Elephas maximus indicus: one gene and its partners. The protein of the gene in region 3 interacts with the protein of the main gene of each other region in a biochemical or structural test. Links are inferred from orthologs where the notes say so. Each region holds a gene or a part of one and is shown on either strand. Other genes may lie near its edges. The genes, in order: MCM3, AMER1 and KEAP1.

Region 1 (7,426 bases), on a different chromosome or scaffold from region 3:
TCTAGAAGAATGACTTCAGATATTACCCAATTAACTTGCATGAAAACAGACATCTTTGACTCCAGCCCCCAACGAGGCCCAATCACTATATTCCCCTCACCTTAGTGGGATAGACAGAGCTGGAAGGAAAGGCCACCAAGGTGGTGAGATCAGAATAACGTCGCTCTATGGTCTTCTTGGTGGCAGGACAATAGTGGACACTGCGGACAACTTTGGGTCGAACTAGAGAGCCTAGGAATGAAAAACATGCATCTGAAGTCATCCAAGTGGACAGTGATAGAAGGACCTACATTCAGGTAAGCCTACAAGGACTCCAAATACTGTCTTCTTCCAACTAGTTTAAGCTATTTGAATACATACCAAGCCAAAATCAAACCAGCTGCTGTGGAGTCAGTTCTGACTTAGGGTGATCCCATGTGCGTCAGAGCAGAACTGTACTCCACAGGGTTTCAATAGCTGATCCTTCAGAAGTAGATTGCCAGGCCTTTCTTCCAAGTAGCTTCTGGGTGGATGCAAACTTCCAACCTTTCAGATAGCTGCTGAGCGTGTTAACCGTTTGCACCACCCAGGGACTCCTGTCAGTTATTCATGTTTACATCTATACACAGAACTCGCCACGAGGGCTCCAAATATCACCATATCTATGTAAAATTCAAGAACGACTGATTCCAACTAAGAAATTCTAAGAATTCAGGGTTGGAATGAGGAAAATGCCAAAAGCCACGCTCTTCTCCAGTTCTCAGCAGAACTTACCATTCTGTTAGCACAGGTAGTCACTCAAGGTTATTCTAATCACTCTGCACTCTGAGCTTCTCCCAGTTCACCCCATAACTTCAATCCTTCACCTTTCTAAAACCACAAGCTATCCAGCTGTATTCCACCTCTCCTGTTTATCTACTTTTATTCCCCTAGTCCCCACCTCTAACCCACTCACATTTAGTGATAATGCCCTCCACACAGACTACACAACTGAGGAAGCAGGAGGTGAGAGTTCGCGGGGAGACATGCTTAGAGCCAAAACTGCCCTCCAATCCTATGTAGAACTCCTCATACTGCTTGGCGTAGGTAGCATCAATGGAGGCCACAAAATCCTTTAAGGCCCGCTGGAAGGCAACCAGTTCTTCAAAGGCATTGCTCAGGAGGCTGCATATGAGCAAGAATAAAAATAATTAGGCAGAGAGGCCAAAATTCCAAAAAAGTGACCCTGCAAACAGAAGTGGACATTCTTAGATCATCAAGGCCAAGGAGTGAAAATCCAGTTCCTACTTTCTCCTACCATTCTACAAAACTCAGTAAAACCCATCAGAACTGAGGGCCCACTTTAACTCATTTATGAAAGATGTAGAAATGATACCTAATTAAAATACTGGAAAAAGAGGCCCTTGGGAGGAAATGTCCACCAACTACTTTTGAAAGAAAAACAAAGGAGCAGGAGAGGCAACGAGGGCTTCTAGGTCAATCATGTTTGATCCACGTCCTCTCCTGGGATGCCTATTACAATCTGGAGAAGAGGGAAGGAAGCTGGTTCACTCAGAGCCAGGCCTTCCCCTTGGGAACCTTTGCATCTCACCGGTTAGCCCTCTTCTCATTTTTCCTGCGCAGGTCATTCACATTGACAATCAGCCGGCATTGGTTGTCACTGATCAGCTCCCGCACTTTGCTTTGATAAAGTCCCTGGTCTTCCTGCAAAATAGGCACCAGATTAAAAAACAGGATGTTTTTAAACAGAGGCAGCTGTCACAGCAAGATAAATAAAGCTACCTCTAAGGCAGAACTGAACCCCAAGCATCCATTCATCAATTTCTGCCACATTTTCACTCTCCGGCCTCAGACTCTGAATATATCTTCTGGGGATACTGTAGGAATTATGACTTCCTCAAAAATAATGACCCAACTTATTATTTCTATTATCATCAACAGCTTGCTAAAATGTTTCTGTATGTTGTCATTTCTCAGTCTCTAGTGTGGAATTAAAACGAGTGCATATTAAATCTAAAAGAAAGATGAAACCTTGTTAGATTGTAAACCCAACAGGCACTTATTAAAATGCCTTTTCATTTAAAAGCTATGTACAGAACTAAGGTATTATTATTTCCCCATCATGTATGTACGTAATATATATGAAAGAGCTCTCAAAGCCAGACTAAAGGAGAGCTTAGCTATTTGATTACAGATACAGCCTCTTTCAAGGTGCTTTATCAACATTTTAGTCTTGGGTTGTACGTAAAACTCCCTTTATCTGCATACAAAACCCTCTTTTTCTGCATCTTATCCGGTATTGGAAAAGAATGCATCCAAATTAGAAGTCTGTCTCCTGAACAGTATCAAGTCAGTTACTAAATATCTGGGGACCCTACAACGCTGTAAGTCAACACCGCCCTAAAACAGTTCCTACCCTACCTTCTCCCAAAACAGAGCCGGGAGTGATTTCGAAAAGACCAAGGTGGGCTTTGCCCTTTTGTTTGCACTCAAGGGAACTCGTCGCCTTTCGTGTGACCCGTTCATCACTTGTATTTAGGAGAAAGTTTTCTAAAGGCTCACCTATATAAAGCCAGCTAACGACTGACTCCGCTACAAGAAAAACTACAAGACTGGGGTGGAAGGGTCCTGCGCCCGCGGGGCTCCGGACCAGCAGCCAGGCTCGGGCACCAGCATAGCGCCTGGAGGTCTTACTGCCAGGCCCTGTCCCTGCTCGGAAAAGGAGCAGCGTCACCCGCTTTCTCCCCCGGCCGCCCAGTCCCCTGGGGCTCCAAGCGCCAGAGCCTCGCGACCCTGCACCTTCCTCACCTCGTCATCCAAGAAGTCCAGGTAATCTCTCTGAGCCTCCCGCAGCTCCACATCGTCCAACACCACAGTCCCAGCCATGCTCGTGACCTCGAAACTGCTAAAAAGTCTTTCGGGTGGTCCTTGAATGACTCCTCCCCGGCGCGAAAACTTCCGAACTTTTCCCGCCACCAAAGGTTACGTGAAGGAAAGGGAGGAAACACTGCGAGCAAATGCACTTTCTGATTGGCTAGATCTTCTTACACAGGAATAGCGCGTATCCAATCGGGAGCTCCTCCTTCTTTAGGCTGTCCTTACGGCGCCTGGCGGTGGCGGGAAATGGGACACCCGGGGCGGGCTCTCTTGGTTTCTCCCCCTCCCCGCTGGGTCCTCACGGCCAGGAAAGCCGACCAATGGAGCCGAGAGGAGGTCTCGGAGTCTGGTAATTGGGCTGCTGGAGGGGGCGGTCCGGGAAGTGGGGAAGCGCTGCATTCTGGGAGGCTTGGTCCTCTGCTCTCTCGCGAACGTTTTGCAGGCTGTGGTTCGTGGTTCAGAGCGTGGTTGCTAACCAAAATGTCGGCAGTTTCAATCCACCACCTGCTCCTTGGAAACCCTGTGGAGCAGTTCTGTTCTGTCCTATGGCGTCGCTATGAGTTGGCATCAATTCGAGGGCGACGGCTTTGGTTTTTTGGTTCACCAACCTGCCCCAGAGCGACCATACTCAACCAGCCATTTGAATTAGTCTATGGGCTTTGCATGATAAAGAGTCGAGTGAATGGTTAAGCTCTCTTCTGCTAACCAGCAGGTTGGCAGTTGGAATCCAGCAGCGGCTCCGGACGAGAAAAGACCTGGTGTTCTGTTCCTGTAAAAATTACAGCGTAGGCAACCACATGGGTCATTTCTACTCTGTCCTATAGGGTCACTCTGAATCGGAATTTGAGAATGTCCAGTAAGTGGCACTCTGCGCGCACCGGCCAGGATCCGCCTTTGGTTCGGTGACAAATTCTTGCACCCCAGATGGGACCGGGAGGTCCCCCTGACCCGCCTGCCCAGAGCCCGGTATCGTCTCGGACTGTGGACGCACTCTCCTCCAGACCTCCGCGTACACCGAGCCATTTGTTGGGGAGGAACGGATGAGTTTTCCCGTGTGACCGAGGCGGTCTTCGGCCAGAGGCGCTTCACTCTTCGAGAATCAGAAATAAGTCCGGTCTGAGACGTCTCTTGGATAAGTTGAGAAATCTGTTGAGATTAGCCGCGATGGGTTAGAAGCAGCTGTTGTGTGCTCTCTGGGAAGTTGATGTTTGGCTAGATACCTCGGTGATTACATTTCTGGGTTGTTGAAACTCAACAGTGTGGTCTTAATTGTTTCTTTTGACCATAGACAAAACGTGACTCGAGTCCTATTCAGGTTCTGGCTCTGTTCTTCATTTTGTGATTCTAATTTTTAAATCCTTGCCGTAAGTGTTGTGTTACTGTGTGTGCGTGTGTGTGTGCGCGCGCGCAGAATGAAAATCACGCAAGCATTCCAGAATGTAGTCGTCTAAGGTGTATTCTTAAGAATCATTCACATCTTAGTTATGAGCCTGTGAAAAAAGAAGTAAATGATATTTCTCTGTAACACCGCTTGGTGTCAGTACTAACTGGGTTCAGGAGAGAGGGGGTCGGAACACGGAGCTTGGAATTACAGCACAATCCTTCAGTTAGATTTATCTTGTAAAAGAGAGGAGAAGTAGGACGAGATCCCATATGTGCAGGTCTTTGTGTCTCCATATCAAAATAAGAATCTACAGAAGCAGTGTAAATTAATTGTTCAGTCTACCTAAGATACTGAAAAGAAAGTTTTACACGACCATGGGGATCCATACTCCTTCAGTCCACTACCAGCCCCCTTCTGCCTCACCACCTTAACCCCCAGAGTCAGAACCTCTAGCGCCACACCTCAGACCCCGACCCCCTACTCTGCATTCCTGGGCTGTAGTCCAACAGTGGAGCCACCAAAGGCTCAAGCCACTTTGTACCCCCCTTTGTCAATATCTGACATTAGGACTGGGGCCATTTCCCAAGAATCAGTCTCCCCTGCCCACATCCATAGTGGAACCCAATTTAGCCAGGGGCCGCCTTCTATCCCTGCAGGGCAATATCTGTTAAGGCACACGCCAGCAGGAATGGACTATGCTGGGCAGCCACAGGGTTTCCTTTGGATGCACACTCCGTTCTCCACCTCAAACTTACACAGTTGGAAAAATAACTTCCCCACTTTTGGGGAGGACCCCAAGAAAGTAGAGGCTCATTTTGCTTCTGTGTTTGCCACTCATCCCCCCCAATAGGGCAGATTGCGGTCTTTAACCTCTGATGAAAAAAGGATAGGTAAGAAGTTGACAAGCTTCATCCTTTGAACCCCCCCCCAAATGACATCAGGCAGCATGTGACCCAGGCTGTTCCAATAACAGAGCCTAGGTGGGACCCCAATGACAGGTTGGGCATGGCCTGTCTTGACCATTATAGGCATTACTTGAGCAGCAGACTAGAGCATGAAGTGCCTAAACAAAGAGTTTGAATAAGATACAGAAGGTCAATTAGGGGGAAAAGGAAAATCCCTACAGCTGTTTGGAGAGAATCTTCAGAGCATGCTGCCAATACTCTGACATTGACCGAGAAGACCCCGCCGACACTAGGTTGATCAACAAGACTTTTATCAGCCAAAGCGCCCCAGGTATCAGAAGAAACCTTCAAAAACATCAAGGGGAACTCGGGAAAAACACCTCTGAATTGGGTGAGATTGCCTTTAAGGTCTACAACAACCAAGACCAAGAACATGCTGGGGGGGAAGGACAGAGGATGAAACAGAAGGCTGTGCTCTTGGCATCCACTCTTGGGAGTCTGCCACTGGGTAACTTCCCGTCAAGAGGGGTAAATTCCCAGTGCCCCTCACTGCCAAAACCCCCTTAGGGACCTCAGCAGATGGGTCAGCCAATAAAGTTGGGATCCGAACAAGGTGCCTATTGCAAAAAGGAGGGATACTGGAAGCGAGAATTCCCTGGACGCCCTCGCAGTGGCCTTTCAGAGCCCAATCGAGAGGTTGCCCATCAGATAGTGCACCTGTCCAAGAGTCACCAAGAGTGATGGGACACAGGGGCTCTGTTGCCTACCGGGCACGTTCCTATCTCCCACAAGAATTCCGGGTGGCTACAACTGATTGATTTGTGTCCCCAAAAAAATATGTGTCAACTGGGTTAGGCATGATTCCCAGTATTGTGTGACTGTCCTGCATTTTGTGATTGTAATTTTATGTTAAAAGGATTAGGGTGGGATTGTAACACCACCCTCACTCAGGTCACTCCCTGATCCAAGGTAAAGGGAGTTTCCCTGGGGTGTGGCCTGCACCACCTTTTATCTCAAGAGATGAAAGGGAAGCAAGTGGAGAGTTGGGGGCCTCATACCACCAAGAAAGCAGCACCAGGAGCAGAGCGCATGTTTTCGACACGGGGTCCCTGCACTTGAGAAGCTCCTCGACCATGGGAAGACTGAGGACAAGAACTTCCTCCAGAGCCAGCAGAGAAAGCCTTCCCCTGGACCTGACTCCCTGAATTTGGACTTGTAACCTACTAGACTGTGAGAAAATAAATTTATCTTTGTTAAAGCCATCCACTTGTGGTATTTCTGTTATGGCAGCACTAAATGACTAAGACACTGTGGGAACGCAACTGGGGAAACATATTCAGTCCTTAATTAACACTTGGGTCCTCTTTCAGAAGAAATGACTATTACTGGGGTCTCCGGGAGATCCTCTAGCAAGACTTTTCTGCAACTTCTGGATTGTCATATTGGGGAGGCAACTCTCCTCACAGCTGCTTATATGTGCCTGAATGCCCATCCCCCTCCTAGGGTGTGACTTGCTAGCCAAACTCAATGCTCAGGTTACCTTTTCGGCTGGATGGCTCCAAGTTGAAGTTAACCCAGACCAGGCTTGGCCCTGCAGGCCACTTTTCTGCAGCTCCTGATTCTAAGCTCAGATCTCGTACCTGAAGAGATCTTTCAGAAGCTAAACCCAGAGGTGTGGGCTACTGGAGTCCCTGGACGGTGATAACAGCCAACCCAGTCAAGGTAAAGCTAAAATCAAATTGCACTATACCCCACCTGAAACAATATCCTGTGGAGCAGGAAGCCAGAATGGGCATAAAACTCTTTAATAGAGACTTTCCTCCAACACGGACTAATCTGCTCTTGCCAGTCGCTCTATAACACTCCCATATTCCTGGTTAAGAAGCTGGGCACAGGTGAATACCAGTTTGTTCAAGACTTCACGCCCATTCATCAGTTTATGGAAGATATCCATCCAGTAGTACCAAACCCATATACTCTACTAACTGCACTTCTGGGAGATAATGCCTGGTTTACGGGGCTGGATTTAAAGGATGCCTTCTATTGCATTCCCCTGGAGGCATCATCCCAGGAAATCTTTGCCTTTGAATGGGAGGACCCAGATACAGGACAAGGGCTCAGTTCTGTTGGACTGTGCTGTCCCAAGGGTTTAAAATGCCCCTGATCTGTTTGGGGAAGCACTGAGAAGAGACTTACGAGAGTTAGAATTACCTAAAGGAGTCGTATTACAGTATGTTGATATCCTGATTTCTAGCCCGAAACTTCAGATGAAAATACAGTG
Region 2 (7,488 bases), on a different chromosome or scaffold from region 3:
TCCAGCTCTTCCTCTTACCCTACACCTATAATCAACCCCAACCATCCAGAATCCCAGCTCTTGCCCAATTCACCATATACTCTCACAGGGCTGGGATTTGGCTAGGCCAGAATTCCTTCCCCTACTTTTCTCACTTGACACAATCCTCAAAGCCATCCTCCATGAAACCTTTTTCTGATGCCCCTCCCCATCCTGAGGAAAAGGAATACCTTCATCCACAATGCTCCAGAGCACACACACCTGAGACTAGGGAATGTCAGGACCACAAAGAAGGCATCCAGCTGGGAAGCCTCTTCAGCATTTTGAATATCTCTTTCATTTCCCTGAAGCCTTATTGCTTTTGGGCCCACCCTAATGTCTGTCAGTTCCAAAGGACTGGTGTGACAGAATGTTTAGCAGCTGGGCAGAAAGCATGGAAGACTACCTCCTATGACAAAAGCAGCATGACAGTGCGCCCTTGCTCACGGATATTTGGAGTCCACCACCTGACTACTTTGCATATATCTTCTCTCTGTTTCCATGGTTGAGACTGCCCTAGCCCATTGTTGCCCTGGACTCCACATTTAGGAATTGCTTTTCCAAATTGTTATCTTTGGCCTACTTTAGAAAACCAAAGTTCTGGATGAAATGTGAGCAGGTGGCAGACCCAAAGGCACAAGGCAGCTGAAAAGCCTATGAATGAAGTGCTGGGAAAGAAGACACCTCCAGATCAGGCCTGACAAGTGACAATTAGGATTTTGTAAAGCAAGAAAGTATAGCTCCAGCCCTCCAGATGGGGAAACATGCTGGGGAGGAGAAGAAATTTGACCAATAAAGACACACAATGAGCTAGTGGCAGCCTCACCACCTCACCCACCATTTGTATAGACCAGGGACTAGACTAGGAGATCTGACGTCCAAATTCCTTTTAATTTTTTTAAATAATATTTTATTGTGTTTTTGATGAAGGTTTATACAGCAGTTTAGGTTCCTATTCAACAATTTCTACACAAATTATACAGTGACATTGGTTACATTCTTCACAATGGCATGAACATTCTCATTATTTCTGTTCTAGTTGTCCTGTTTCCATTAATCTGGTTTCCCTGCCCCTTTACATTCTCATTTATGTTTTAAAGTGATTATCGACATTTGGTCTCATATAGGTGATTTTTAAAAGAAGCACATGGTTATGGGTGATATTCATTATTTTGGGAGCCCATGTGTTATTTAGCTAAAAGTTGACCTTAGGAGTTAGTTTTGGTTTAAGGTTTGAAGACTATCTGAGAATCTTCCAGTCTCAACTAGTCCAATAAATGTGTATTTTTTTTTTTTTTTTAGGAATTTGAGATTCTGTTCCACATTTTTCTCCCACCCTATCAGGATCCATGTATTGTGACCTTGATTAGAAATGTCGGTAGAGGTAGCTGGGCACTATCTAGTTCTTCTGGTCTCAGGGTACATCTCCTCCAACACTTGAGACCATGGTTCGAGTAGACTATTTGTCCTGTAGACTAGTTTTTTCTTTGTCTTTGGTTTTCTTCTTTCTCTTTTGCTCCGGACAAGTAGGGACCAGTAGTTGTATCTTAGATAGCCATTTGCAAACTTTTAAGACCCCAGAAACTACTCACCTAACTAGAATGTAGAACATAACTTTTATGAACTATATTATGCCAATTGACCAAGATATCCTAATCCTTCATATCAACATCCATAACTGTGTCCCCTATGTGCTTTATTACATATATGAATATATATGCATACAGTCACATACATGCATATACATATGCATACACCTATATACACACACATATATACTCACATACACATACCTATATACATTTATGCCTATATATATTTTTTGGTTGTTGTTACTGTTGTTTCAAAATTATATATGCTATAGCAATTACCGATAGATCCTTTTTTCTTGCACATTTTAGTGGCATTTTTTACCTTTCGTCAACCTGTGTGTACTTCACCCTCATTCGATGTTACTATCACCAAAAATAACAAATGTCTACCATCTAGATATGGAAACCCTGGTGGTGTAGTGGTTAAGAGCTACAGCTACTAACCAAAAGGTCAGCAGTTCAAATCCACCAGGCGCTCCTTGGAAACCCCATAGGGGCAGTTCTATTCTGTCCTATAGGGTCGTTGCGAGTCGGAATCAACTCAACAGCAATGGGTTTTTCTGTGTAGATAGTGAATCCCACTCTTCTTCCCACCCTCATCCCTGTAACCACTAATGAACATTAGTTTCTGTATATATACCTGTTCACGTCATTTCATAAAAGCGAGAACATGTAGTATTTGTTTTTTTGTGATTGACTTATTTCAATCAACATAGTGTCCTCCAGGTTCATTCATGTTTCAAGATGTTTTTGGAGCTCATTTTTCTTTATGGCTGAATAGCACACCTTTGTACGTATGTACCACATTTTACTTACCATTCATCCGTTGAAGGGCACTTAGGTTGTTTCCATGTTTTTGCTATGGTGAATAGTGCTGCGATGAACATAGGTGTGCATATGTTTACTCATGTCACTTCTATTAGATCCCTAGGGTATATACCTAGGAGTAGAATTGCTGGGTCATTTAGCTCTACCTCTAGTTTTTTGAGGACCCGCCAGACTGTTTTCTACAATGGCTGTTCCAGTTTGCATTTCCACCAGCAATGGGTGAGGGTTGCAATTTCTCCACATCTCCTCCAACACTTATTATTTGCCTTTGTTTTTTTTAATCTTAGCCATCCTAGTGGGCTTGCAATGACATCTCATTGTGGTTTTAATTTGTGTTTCTTTGATGGCTAATGAAGTTGAGTATCTTTTCATGTGTCTGTTGGCTGTTTGAATATCCTCTTTGGTGAAGTGTCTGCTCATGTCCTTTGCCCAGTTTTTGATTGGGTTATTTGTCTTTTTGTTGTTAAGTTGTAGTTTTCTATATATTTTAGATATTAGACCCTTATCAGTTATATCATTCCCAAAGATTTTTTCCCAGTCCGTAGGTTTTCTCTTTACTCTTTTGATAAAGTCTTTTGATGAACATAAGTATTTAAGCTTTATGAGGTCTCAGTTATCTATTTTGTTTTCTGTTGCTTGTGCATTTGTTGTAGTGTTTGATAATTTATCATTGAAAAAAATTAGGTCCCAAAGCTTTGCTTCCATATTTTCTTCCAAGAACTTTGTGGTTTTAGATCTAACATTTAAGTTCTTGATCCATTTTGAATTAGTTTTTGTGTATGGTGTGAGTAAGGATCTTGTTTCATTTTCCTGTTTGTGGAAATCCAGTTTTGCCATCATTTGTTGAAGAGACTATTCCTTCCCCATTGAATGGATTTGGCTCCCTTGTCAAAAATCGCTGACCATAGATGTTTGGATTTATTTCTGGATTTTCAATTCTATTCCATTTGTCTATGTTTCTATCATTAAACCAATACTGGGGTGTTTTGATTAGTAAAAATTGCTTACGTTGTTTTCGGAAGATGTATAGAATGTTATGGAAGGTCATGGGACATCACAAAATGCTATAGAAAGATTTGAGTTGAACTGTCAGATTGGGACTGGATTGAGGAGCTTGATGAGTTTTACCCCCTCCTTTGTAGAGATGGAGTGATGGACTGGCCCAGAGAGGTAAAGAGATTGGCCAAGGTCATACAGTAGTCTAAGGCAAAGCTGGAAGCTAGATCCCAGCAACCATGTTAGTTATCTTATGTTTAGCACCTGCATCATTTCAAGGCAAATGGGACATAGTAGAGCAATGGAGAACTTCTCCTGCAATGCAAAAATGGCTTTTATTGTTCTCTAATCCCTCCCCCTGCCTCAAACTCAATCCCCACTCCCTCCCACTTTGTTTCTTAGGCTCACAGAGTTTTAGGGCTGGACCTTCTGTATGTTCTTGAGCTAGTGGTAGAACTGGATTCTTTGTCACCTCAGCTCACCTGCCTCTGGAAGACACTAATGCCACTTAATGCCCTCAGGCTTGTTAGAGACCCAGGCTCAGTTGGCCCCCTGCCACATCCCAAGCACAGCAGTGGGCAAGGCAAGCACAGGACTCCACAATCTACCCTCAGCCCTCAGCCTTACCTCTGGTCTCAGCCCAGACAAGATTTTTCTCTTAATATCTAGGCTTTTCGGTGACAGATAATTACACAAAGCTAGGCTCACCGTTAAAGGGTTGATGGTCCTGTGGAGAATGTGGGGATCCCCTCATGTTCAGAGAAAAGTGGAAAATTCGGGTGAGGGTCAAACTACAGGAACAGGTAAATTCCCAGAGATGAAAAGTGAAAGCAGCTCCTGCCGCTGGCAGGCTGGGTGACCTTGGTGAAGCTCCTTCCCTTCTCTGGGCAGCACAGTCACGGGTGGGGTGAGGTTGGCCTCTATGGTCAGTAAAGGCCCTGGTGTGCCAGAGAGGCAGGTGAAGTCGGGGCGCAGGCGCTGCAGCTGGTTTTTCCTGGCAGGTGAGTCAGTCTCTCCTCTGTGTGGCCTAGGCGTGAGTGCCGCGGGGCCCTACCTCTACGCCTAACGATGGGCCAGGTGAGATGCCCAGGGGCTCTGCAGTCCCCCAGCCTTCCTAGCTCCTCCGCCCCGCCTCACTCACCCGCCTCGGGCTCTGAGATTAATTGCCTGGTGGTGGCAGGGGCGCCGCAGTGCGAAGGCACAGCAGCCACGGAAATGGGAGGGCATGCAAAACTGAAACCGAGCTCCAGGGGCCCGGGGAGCCCCACTCCAGGGGCCCGTAGTGCCACCACCATGTGACCCACCCGGTTTGGGGACTGGAGTGGGGAGCCCCAGGGCTGAGTTCCCCACCCTTTCTCCCCCTGCTAACACCACGCCCGCGCTTATTTGCATTTAAAGAGAAACGTACCAAGGAAAACAGTGGGCGGGCCAGGGTCCCCCCGCCTTCCCGTCGTGGCGATTGGGCCACACTCCTGTCGATCAGGACGCGGACTTCCCACCCTGTGACTGTGACTGTGGAGTCCCGGGGGAGGGGGCATGGGGGAGCTGCCCCGAGCCTAAGGAAGGGGAGCCTGTACAGGAGGTGGCTGGGGCAGCGGTGGCGGTGGCGGAGGTGGCGGCAGCAGGAGCAGCGGAGGCAGCTGAGGCGGCGGCGGCGGCACCCTCAGCCGCAGCAGCCTAGGCTCCAGCCCCGACCAGGGTGGCGCAGCAGACAATACCGGGACTGGGAGCCAGAAAGGGCCGGGTAAGCGCTGCGCATAGCCAGGAACCTCCTTCTGCCTGCCGTCCGGTGCAGTCCTGCGTACTCCGCTCAAGCCGCCCGGAGAGGGGAACCAAGGGGTGGGCCGATCGGTGTCTGGGCCGCTTGCTGCTCCCCTTGGACCCTGCTTTGCTGACTGTCCGGTGAGGGACTGAGAGGCCGCGCGTCCCCAGGGCGCAGGCGATTGCAGCTGGTAGTGGGGAAGCAGCAGGGGGAGGAGGCAAGCAGACTGGCGGGCTAGCATGGACCATGCCTCTGGGCTCTCGGGAGACTCGAACCTGGGGCTGCACGTGCTGCTGCGCGGTCCCGGGAGTGGCTCCACCGGCCAGCACCACCAGCTGTGCATTTGTAGGCCGGGAGCTCCGCAGCTTTGTTGTAACTGATTTGCTGGAACAGCTGGGTTACACGAGTATCGCTCGACAGCCTGGAGGCCCTGCTGCCACTTCTCCCCTCCCCTGCGCATCTCTTGCCTCTCCTTCCCTCCTGCCCACGAAACCCGCGCGCTGGCCCAGTCCGGATAAGGACTGGCTTTGGCGTGGATTGAGGGATCCACACTATCTGAGTCCCTGTGAGGAGGATCTCAGTTGGGCCTGTGGGCTGATCACTTCCCTTCGGAACCTCGGTCTTGCTGCCCCAAACAGCCGCGCCCCCTCCTCCTGGGTTCCAGGGCGCATCTGGCTCCTGACACCTCCGGCAGGAGGGTTGGCAGCGAAGCTGTCGCTGGTTCCTCAGTTAGAGCTGCAGCTCAAGCTTGTCCTTGGGTTAGCGCTCCAAGGCCGCTTTGTCTCCCCCCTTGCCTTGCCTCCTCTCCCATTAGAGGGCACTGACCGCTTTTTCCTCTCCAGCCTCCTGTTTAAAAATAGAGATAGACACGGTGCTGTGTGTGTGTGTGTGTGTGTGCGCGCGCACGTGTGGGGTTCCGATCCAGCGGCTGAAGGGGCAGGCATTGCAGTAGGGAACGCACCGCCTGGGTGTACATGAGAGCCAAACCCTCCAACTTCACAGTAACTTAAAATACCCAGGTCGTTGGGCCAGTCATTGTCTATACTGCAGACACCTCTTTTTGTTGCCTGCCTCTTGCAACCAATGATGACCTCTTCCTTCCCAGAACTCCTTCAGGAGTCCCCCTATATCCTGGGCATTTTAAGGCTTAAGTTATAACAAACCAAAAAAAAACACAAAAAACCCAATAGGAGGCCAATTATTTAGTTTCCCTGCTTCTGGTTTGTCTCCTCCATATCATGAATGTCTATGTTCTCTCAAAATCCCTCAGAGGGACAGATGAAACCTGGGACATCAGTCACAACCCGCTCAAAGCCTAGCAGTGCCAAGTTGTTAATGCTCTGGAAGGACTGGATGTTTTTGCAGAGCTTTGGAGAAACCTTTACTGCTCCAACTTGCACTTACGGTGATCTACATGAAAGTGACTAGAGAAATGGTACTCAAGGCTCAGATATTAACTGAGTAGTCCTAATGAGGATGAAGAAGGGGGACGGGTTGGAACTACAAGGAAAATAAATAAATCATGATGTGTCTCTTCAGCAACAAGCTCAGGATCTGGGCTGTCCCCACCCCAGACTACACATATCTTTGATTTGCTGATTCATTAGCCCAGAGGCCTACTAACCTGGAGAGAAATGAGAGACTTGTTAATGGGGAGGTGGTCATCCTGGGATGCTTCCAGACAGTAGAGGAGTTTGGCTAGGGAAAGAATTTAATGTCATAAGCAAAAAGAGGTCCACATTAGGAATGAGAGAGGCGTGGCTGGCAGGCAGCCTGAGGTGACTGAGTTGATTCTGGTTGAATGGTATAGCTCCTAGATAAAGAGTAGTTTGGGGCCCAGTGGTGGGGGCTCCCAAACACCAGGCAGCAGAATGCAGATCTAATCCTATTGGGGTAAGGGGACACTGAAGAGTGAGGGGTTGTGGAATTTTGTTTTTTTTTGTGTGTGTGTGTGTATAAATGCATCATGATAAAAACTGGTTTTAGAATGGGATTGGAAGCATGGCACAAGTAAGGCAGATAAGATGCCACCTCTGGATCTGGCAGTAGAGCTATCTCCAGAGGAAGGTGGCATAATGTCAACTACCCTTTGGCCTTGTGTGGGGCATGGGGTGGGGGGACCTTGAGCCTAAACACCAATATGGTGAGGGCTGAGAAGAATCCCCCTGGTCTCTGCTGAGCTCCTTCTTCCCAGCTGGACAGGCCTTTAAGGAACACCAGTTTGGACCACTGTGCTTACAGAATGGAAACCTGAGCCCTGGAAAGGAACAGGGGCTTATTTATGGTCACACA
Region 3 (7,632 bases):
TATCTTGACCCTTCACATCCCAAAAGGGACATGATGACCTCCTGTCCTCCTCTCCCTGGTCCCTCCCTGCCATTGCCCCAGCCTTGATTCCAGGCACCTTCCTCCACGCTCACCTCCCCGAAATGCATGTAGATGTACTCGCGGGCGCGCTGGTGCAGCTCAGCACAGCCGATCTGCTCAGCGAAGTTGGCAATGCCGATGGCGTTGCTGGGGTCCAGCTGCTGCACCAGGAAGTCACTGCAGGCACGGACGACGCTGTCAATCTGGTACATGACAGCGCCGTTCATGACGTGGAGCACACATTTCTCGCCCATGGAGATGGAAGCCGTGTAGGCGAACTCAATGAGGCGCTCCATGACCTTGGGGTGGATGCCCTCGATGGATACCACCTCCATGCCCTGCTCCCGCAGCCCGTTGGTGAACATGGCCTTAAAGACAGGGCTGGATGAGGCCAGCACCACCTTGTGGGCCATGAACTGGGCAGCTGGCGCATCCTCATACTTGACCTGCAGGGTGACGTCACAGAGCTGCTGGCTGAGCCGCAGCTCGTTCATGATCCCGAAGGCCTGTTTGGTGTGGTCCTCCAGTGTGTAGCTGAAGGTGCGGTTGCCATGCTGGGAGGGCGTCACCTCGGCCTTACACTCGGTAGAGGCATACATCACTGCGTCCCCTGCCCCCTCGGGGCACTGCGACTGCAGGGGCAGGAATCGGCTGTGGGCCCCAGCCCTGCTAGGCTTGGGTTCCAGCTGCATGAGGCTCCTGGCGATGAGGGACAACACCACCACTGGCACTCAGGGCCCTGGAGGAGGAGAGCACAGGGCTGGGGGCAGGGCCTGGGGCTGGGCCAGCACCGGCCAGGCCTCCTTTTGTAAGATAAAGCCATTCTCAGATCAGCTTTCCTTCCCGAGGGAACCAGATAGAGCAGCATTCATTCCAGCTTCCTAATTGTCCCCAGCCTTACCAGCCCAAGGGCCCATCTTAAAACCTAGGTCAGGCCATGTCCCTCCCCTGCTCAGAATCCTCTGACAACTCCCCAAGACACTAAGAATGAAACCGAACTCCTCAGAGGCCCGGTCAGCCCCTGCAGCCTCTTCCCTTTGCTCTCTCTGTCCCAGCCATCTGGAGCATGCCCTTCCTACAGCACGCCAAGATCATTCCTTTATTCACCTCACAAACACTTATTGAGTGCCTACTGTGTGCCAGGTACTGTTCTAGGCACTGGGGACACAGCAGTGGGCAAGACAGACAAAACCCCCTGCCCTCTGTGGAGCTGACATTAGGGGAGGAAAGGACCATAAATAAAATCAGTAAGGCTGGAGCGGAAACCTGGAGAATCCAGGAGGAGGAGTAAAGCTGCTGAGAGTATGGTGGGAGACAAGGAGCTGGGCTTGCATAAAGCCCAAGGTCGCAGAGGGCCAGGTCTGCGATGTGTTTTGAAAGGTTTCCACACTAGCTGGCCTGGAGGGTGGGGGGTGAATCTGCAAGGGGCGGCTAGGTTCTCCTCCTCATTGAAATGCAGTCACCACCTCCCTCATGCATTTTCATCACAGCACTTGTCAGGAACTGAAAGGATCTCCATGGCTTGTTGTTGAGGAATTGGCCATCCTTCTCACACACAGCCTCAGCGCTCCGGCAGGCCGGGGGGGCCCCTGTCTAGATCACTGCTGTGCCTTCCCCCGCCGTGCCACCCCCACGTCCTGCCCCGGGCCTGACACTGCGCAGGGCTCAGTAAACACGGGGCCGTCTGGCTGCCTGCCCACCCCACTGCGCCCTCTTCCACCCGGACCCAGGGCGCAGCTTGGCTCCCTCTCCCGTACCGACTGCCTCTCCACCTTCGGCCAATCGATCACTGGTGCCCCCTGGCCACCGGGCACTCCCCCAACGAAGCGCCCAGTGCGGACTGCGCATGCCCCGCATGGGCCGCCACCAAGACTTGGAGAAGGCAGGAAGTGACCCCGCCGCGGCCTCTCGCCTGCCAGCCCCAGAGGATGGAACGGGTCCCCCCAACGCCTCGGGGTCCCCGCGCCTCCGTGCGATCGGCGCTCCCTGAGCCTCCCGCCCTGTTTTCTTTCCTCTCGGGCCAACCCAAGGGTCGTGCAGTCCAACAAAAGGATCGGACCCCGGACCCGTCTCCTGGCCGTTCCAGGCCGCGGGGAACCCCGAGGCGCCCTGGCCTGCGACGCCCCGCTCCCCGCTCCTCAGGCACGGTCGCTCGGGCGCTCGCGGCCCGCGGTGCCCGCAGCCCGGGCACAGGTCGCCTCACTCACCCCGCCATGGCCGCGCTCGGGCTCCGCCTCCGCCGCCGGGGCCCCGGCGCCTCCATCGCCGCGCGGCGGGGGGAGGCGCGGAGCGCGCAGGTCACCATGACTAAGCAGAGCCGGGGCCCGCCGTGTCAGAATAAAAGTCCCCGCGGCCCGGGCCTCTGGCGGCGCCGCGGGAACGCGAGAGCGGCCACCTCCCGCCCCCGCCCGCGGTCGCCAAGCTGCACCGCCCCTGTGAGGCCACCACAGAGACGGCCATTACCGTGCGCGCGGCCGGGGACCGGTCCTCTGCGGGGGCCCCCACCCGCGCGGCCGGAGCCGCGAGGATTACACCCGGTAGTTCGAGGCCCGGCGTTCCCCAACCCGCACCGGGGACCCGGTGGCCACCGCTCCCCGCCGCTGCCGCCGCGCTCATCTCGGCCTCCTCGTCGCCTCCGTAGCTCTCGCTGACGGTGGGGATGCCTGAGTCACCGCGGCGGCTCGGGGCACGGCGGTGCCACCCGCGCGCGCGCGGCCCTTCCGGGAAGCCTGAAGGGCAGCGGCCGGGCCGCGGCGGCTCCTACCTGACCTCCGCCGTCGGGGATCCGCTGGCGCCTCCGCCGTCGCAGGGCCTCCGATCCGGGGCGGCGCAGCCTGCGGGGTCGCCGCCGTCGCGTGGGGGGCAGCCTCGGGACGCCCGGGAAGGAGGCGGGGAGAGGGTGGGGAGGGCGCGGTGGGGAAGGAGCCGCGATTCCCCGCCCTTCCCTCAGGTGCGGGGCGCCCATCCGAGGCCAGCGGGGCTCCGGGCCCGCCGGGACCATTCCCCCTGAGCGCTGTTGCTCCATCCTGAGTTCGTGGCCAGAGCGTCCCAGCGCAGGGTTGCTGTCCGCGACCTGCTCCTCTCCCTGTAACTGCACACGGCACAGGCCTCGCATTCTGGCGCACGCAGGATCCCGCCAGAATTACCTGCATAGTTGGGATTTTGTTGTCTTTATTTATTACCTCTGATTAAGAGACGCGTGAAGCTCACCTGCCGGAGTTCGAACCCCGGCTCTGCCTCCCGCAGCTCTTAGTTTCCTGCCTGTAAAATGGTAAAATAATAGGACCTTTTACCGGCTAGGTTGTTGTAAGGACTAAATGCGAAGGCGAGCGCCCAATAGATATGAACAATTATTTTTCATGACAAGGGATACTGATTTGCCACTATCACGGATTGAATTGTGTCCTCCAAAAATATGTGTTGCAAAGCTTAACCTCTTATGCTAGCGGTTATAACCCATTTGGGAATGGGTTGTCTTTGTTATGTTAATGAGCAGGATTAGTGTAGAGTGTGTCTTGAGTCAGTCTCTTTTGAGATATTAAACAACCAAGCAGAAAAGGAAAGAGAGATGCCAAGCTACATGAAGATCACCCAGGAAGCTCAGAAAAGACGAAGACCTTCTTCCAGAGCCTACACAGAGAGAAAGCCTTCCCCTAGAGCCAAAGCAAACCAAACCCAGTGCCGTCGAGTAGATTCAGACTTACAGTGACCCTATAGGACAGGGTAGAGCTGCCCCATAGAGTTTCCTAGGAGCGACTGGAGGATTCGAACTGCCAACCCTTTGGTTAGCACTGTAGCACTTAACCACTAGGCCACCAGGGTTTCCAAGAGCCGGCACCCTGAATTTGGACTCCTAGCCTCCTAAACTGTGAGAAAATTAATTTCTGTTTGTTAAAGACACCCACTGTGCTATTTCTGTTATAGCAGCACTAGATAATTGAAACAGCCATTTGCACCGTTTATGATACAAAGTTAACTTTTAAATAAATGTGTTTAAGTTTAGTTTAAAAGGAGTCCATCTAAATGAAAACTAAGTAATAGAAGGGGATGAAGTTTGGGGAGACGCTGAAATGAAGAGCTGTTGGTCTACGAAAGGATTCCGTAAGCCACCAGGATCTGAAATTAAACTGGTGCCCGAAATTGGTGTGGGGTTTCCCCCCCAACCCCTTTGCGTGAAACTACAGTCCCTATCCTCTCCGGGGCGGCGGGGGTGGGGAGCGCTGTTTCATAGTCGGCGAATACGCTGAGTGCCCAGGCTGTGGGGAAACACGCACCCTCCTCGCACGTGCCCCAAGGCAACCTTGCCTATCTATAAATCAAACCTTCACGCCCTGTGACCCAGCAGTGCCATTCGTAGGGATTTATCCAAGATACACTGATACGCGTGCAGGAGGATTTATGTCCAGGGAGGTTTATTGCAGCCCTGTGTATAGTGTGGATTGGACTCAACCCAAATGTCACTCCATGGGGACGTGGCTTAATAAGTGATGGGCACAGCTTTTCTTTTACAGCCATGCTGTGAAATACTATGCAATCGGTTAAAAGGAGCAAGACATTTAGACATTTACTCTATGAATGTTTAACTGAAAAAAAAAAAAGATATAAGAACAAAGCAGAATAAAATGTGCATACGTGCAACAATCTCCAAGACCTATTATTACATGATCAAAACTCCTTTCAGCTTATTTATTCACAGACAGCTCTGGAAGTTTCCCAAGATCGAATCCAGGAAAGGGAAATGGGTGTTTTTTTTGTTTGTTTTTCAATTTTGTGAGATGTAAACAATTCAATAAGTCCCCTACCATCTCGCCATCGAACAATGGGGTGAAATGTCTGGGAAGGCCCCAGACTCCCTTGGAAGTTTAGAAGAGCGTCCGGACTAGGGGCACTAGGGCAAGGGTGGAATTGGGTCCAATCCCAGAAGCGTCCTGGGACTGTGACCCCCAAGCTTGTGTATGTATATTTCAAGAAACAGGTTGGTTTCTCAGGCGTGTAACCTTCAGGGGCGGCCCAGGTATGGCCCGCGGAGACGGTCCCCAGGACAGGCCCCCGGCCCTGCAAAAACACCGCCGTCTGGCTGCCTGCAGTTCCGAGACCTCCCACCAGGTGGCACACCACAGTGAAAACCCGACGCCCCCCACCCCTCCCCCGGCCGCCGACAACTCAGGGGTCAGGAATGCTCCTCGGGACGTGCCGGGGCTGTGGCCAGCGTGCCTGGAGCCTTTTATGGGCACAAAGGGGCCTGGTAGCACCCCTGGCTGAGAATGCAGACCCCTGGGGTTTGGGAGTGTCGGTTGGAATCGTCGGGAGGAGCCAGACGCTAGACCTGAGGCCCCCTGGGCCTGGGAGCCTGACTGCCTGGGCTGGAATCCCGGCTGAAAACACTGCAGCAAGGTGCTCACTGCTTGGAGCCTCAGTTTCCTCATCTGTCAAATGGAGGTGACAAAATCTACCTTGCAAAGTTGCTGTAAGGGTGAGAAAAAAACCAAATGTGTGTCCTCAGCCTAGGATTTGTTAAGGCGACTAAACCAAAAAGCCCAGTGCCGTCAATAAACTGTAAATGTTATTAACTTTAAATTTATTATTATTTTTTTTATAATGAGGGATCGACACTGCACTCAAGAAAATTTTGTGCTCAGACAGGATTTGGCTGAATCTCTCAAATTTTGGGGTGCCCTGTCCCTGGCTTCCTTGCCTCTAAAGTGGGGAGTCATCCTTGATTTCTTTCTTTCCTTCACCCCATACCCAATTCCTTGGTAATTTTGTTCACTGCCTCCAAAATCTGTACGGTAACCGCTTGGTCTGAGCCTGGTTGGTGTTCCTATCATGGCTTTCCTGGGCCAGCACCATCACCTCATTCCCCACAGCCTGTCTCCACAGTGGCCAGAGGGAGCCTGTGAACACCCGAGCGAGGTCACCTGGCTCCTCTGTTCAGAACCCTCCATGGTTGCCATCTCATTTAGAGCAAAACCAAAGTCCTCCCCTTCCCCCACAAGACCCTACACAATCTGTTCCCTTGCCTCCTCCTGCACTCCCCCACCAACTCTCTGTCAGACACACCAGGATCCTTGCTTTTCATTGAACACAACAGCCTCAGGGCCTTTGCACCTGCAATTCCTTCCTCCTGAAGTGCCCTTTGTTCAGGTGACCACCATCACTGACACCATGATTGTATTATTACTGGAATTATCGCGTTTATTTCTTCCTGGACCAGAGTTTCAGTACCACAAAGGCAAGATGTAGTCTGTTTTGTTCACTGCTGTGTCCCTAGTGACTAATATAGAGCTTGGCACACAGTAGGCACTCAATAAATAGGGTTTGACTTCAATTAATATATCTGCCCTGTGTCTTTGGCTGCGTTTCCTACAGGTTCCTTTATTTAAAGCAAAAAAGTCTGCAAAATAGCTCTTAGGGAAGGCAATGGCGGGCCTGAGGCATCAGTCTGCAGTGGGCATGGGCACCAGGGTCTGGGCACCCATGGGTGCGCCGGGGCTGCCAATGGAGCCGCTGGTGTCCAGCCCATCCCGTCGGGGCGACGAGCGCTCAGAGTGGCTGGAGCTGCCATCAGTGCAGGGAGGCAGCCATTGGCGCAGGCCGCCGGAAGCCCCAGCCTCGCTCCCGGGCCGCCTGGAATCACCCTGGCCTAGGCCACAGGGGCGACGGCCGCAACAGACGAGACGCAGGAGCGCGTGGCGCAGGTCGCTGTTGGTGAACGTGTAGATAATGGGATTCAGAAGCGAATTGGCCATGGCCAGGCCCAGGAAGGGGTCAGCCTGCAGGAGCACTGGGCAGGCGCGCGCCGGGCATGCCACGTCGAGCAGCAACAGTAGGAAGAGGGGACCCCAGCACGCCACGAAGGCCAGGAGCACCACGCTGAGCGTGCGCAGCAGCGCCAGCGTGCGCGGCGTGCGACGCGCCCGGTCCGAGGCGCCCCCGCTAGCCCCGGGTCGCGCCCGCAGGCGCCGCGAGTTAGCGCGCACCTGGCAGTAGATGCGCGCATAGAGCACACAGATGGCGGCCAGGATGCTGACGAACGCGACCACGCAGAAGAGCACGTAGGCCTTGGCGTAGAGGGGCAGCACTGTGGAGCAGGAGTCTAGGCGGCCCAGGCAGTTCCAACCGAGCCCCGGCAACAGCCCGATGAGCAGCGACGCGCCCCAGGCGGCGGCCGCCAGCGCCAACGTGCGCCCCCGCCGGGCGGCGGGCGCGGGTCCCCGGTGCGCCATGGTGAAGCGGCGCTCGAGCGCGATGGCCAGGAGACTCAGCACGGACGCAGCGAGCGCCACGAAGACGCCGCCTTCGCGCGCGAACCAAAGCGCCGGCGACAGACGCAGCGTAAGTGGCCCGGACAGTAGTATGTTGGCGGCATAGGCGGCGCCTGCCAGCAGGTCAGACAGCGTGAGACTTCCCAGGAGCAGGAACATGGGCGCGTGAAAGCGAGGGTGGCGCCCGAGCACGAGCAGCACGGCCAAGTTCTCCAGCACGATGAGCGCGCACACTGCCAGGCACACGACGGCGTCGGCGCGCAGTCCCGCGCCAGGCTGGTAGCGAGCGCCTCGGAGCTTGCCGGTG

The links.
Region 1: the proteins of KEAP1 (region 3) and MCM3 form a complex in vitro, tested with the Homo sapiens proteins (2 studies listed by BioGRID, with this or other methods). The link is inferred for Elephas maximus indicus from reciprocal best matches to the Homo sapiens genes KEAP1 and MCM3.
Region 2: the proteins of KEAP1 (region 3) and AMER1 form a complex in vitro, tested with the Homo sapiens proteins (2 studies listed by BioGRID). The link is inferred for Elephas maximus indicus from reciprocal best matches to the Homo sapiens genes KEAP1 and AMER1.

The regions. Positions count from the first base shown.
Region 1 is NC_064819.1:117,647,082-117,654,507, forward strand, and holds the start of MCM3 (DNA replication licensing factor MCM3), read right to left. Parts: upstream 3,067-7,426; 5' UTR 2,866-3,066; coding exon 2,788-2,865; intron 1,684-2,787; coding exon 1,571-1,683; intron 1,144-1,570; coding exon 935-1,143; intron 232-934; coding exon 101-231; intron 1-100. UniProt on the Homo sapiens protein: Acts as a component of the MCM2-7 complex (MCM complex) which is the replicative helicase essential for 'once per cell cycle' DNA replication initiation and elongation in eukaryotic cells.
Region 2 is NC_064846.1:107,061,652-107,069,139, reverse strand, and holds the start of AMER1 (APC membrane recruitment protein 1), read left to right. Parts: upstream 1-4,434; 5' UTR 4,435-4,511; intron 4,512-4,941; exon of another isoform or gene 4,942-5,178; intron 5,179-7,488. UniProt on the Homo sapiens protein: Regulator of the canonical Wnt signaling pathway.
Region 3 is NC_064821.1:28,571,409-28,579,040, forward strand, and holds the start of KEAP1 (kelch-like ECH-associated protein 1), read right to left. Parts: upstream 3,101-7,632; 5' UTR 2,825-3,100; intron 2,358-2,824; exon of another isoform or gene 2,268-2,357; intron 1,882-2,267; exon of another isoform or gene 1,818-1,881; intron 800-1,817; 5' UTR 753-799; coding exon 114-752; intron 1-113. Other genes in the region: S1PR5 (sphingosine 1-phosphate receptor 5), read right to left, coding at 6,498-7,632. UniProt on the Homo sapiens protein: Substrate-specific adapter of a BCR (BTB-CUL3-RBX1) E3 ubiquitin ligase complex that regulates the response to oxidative stress by targeting NFE2L2/NRF2 for ubiquitination.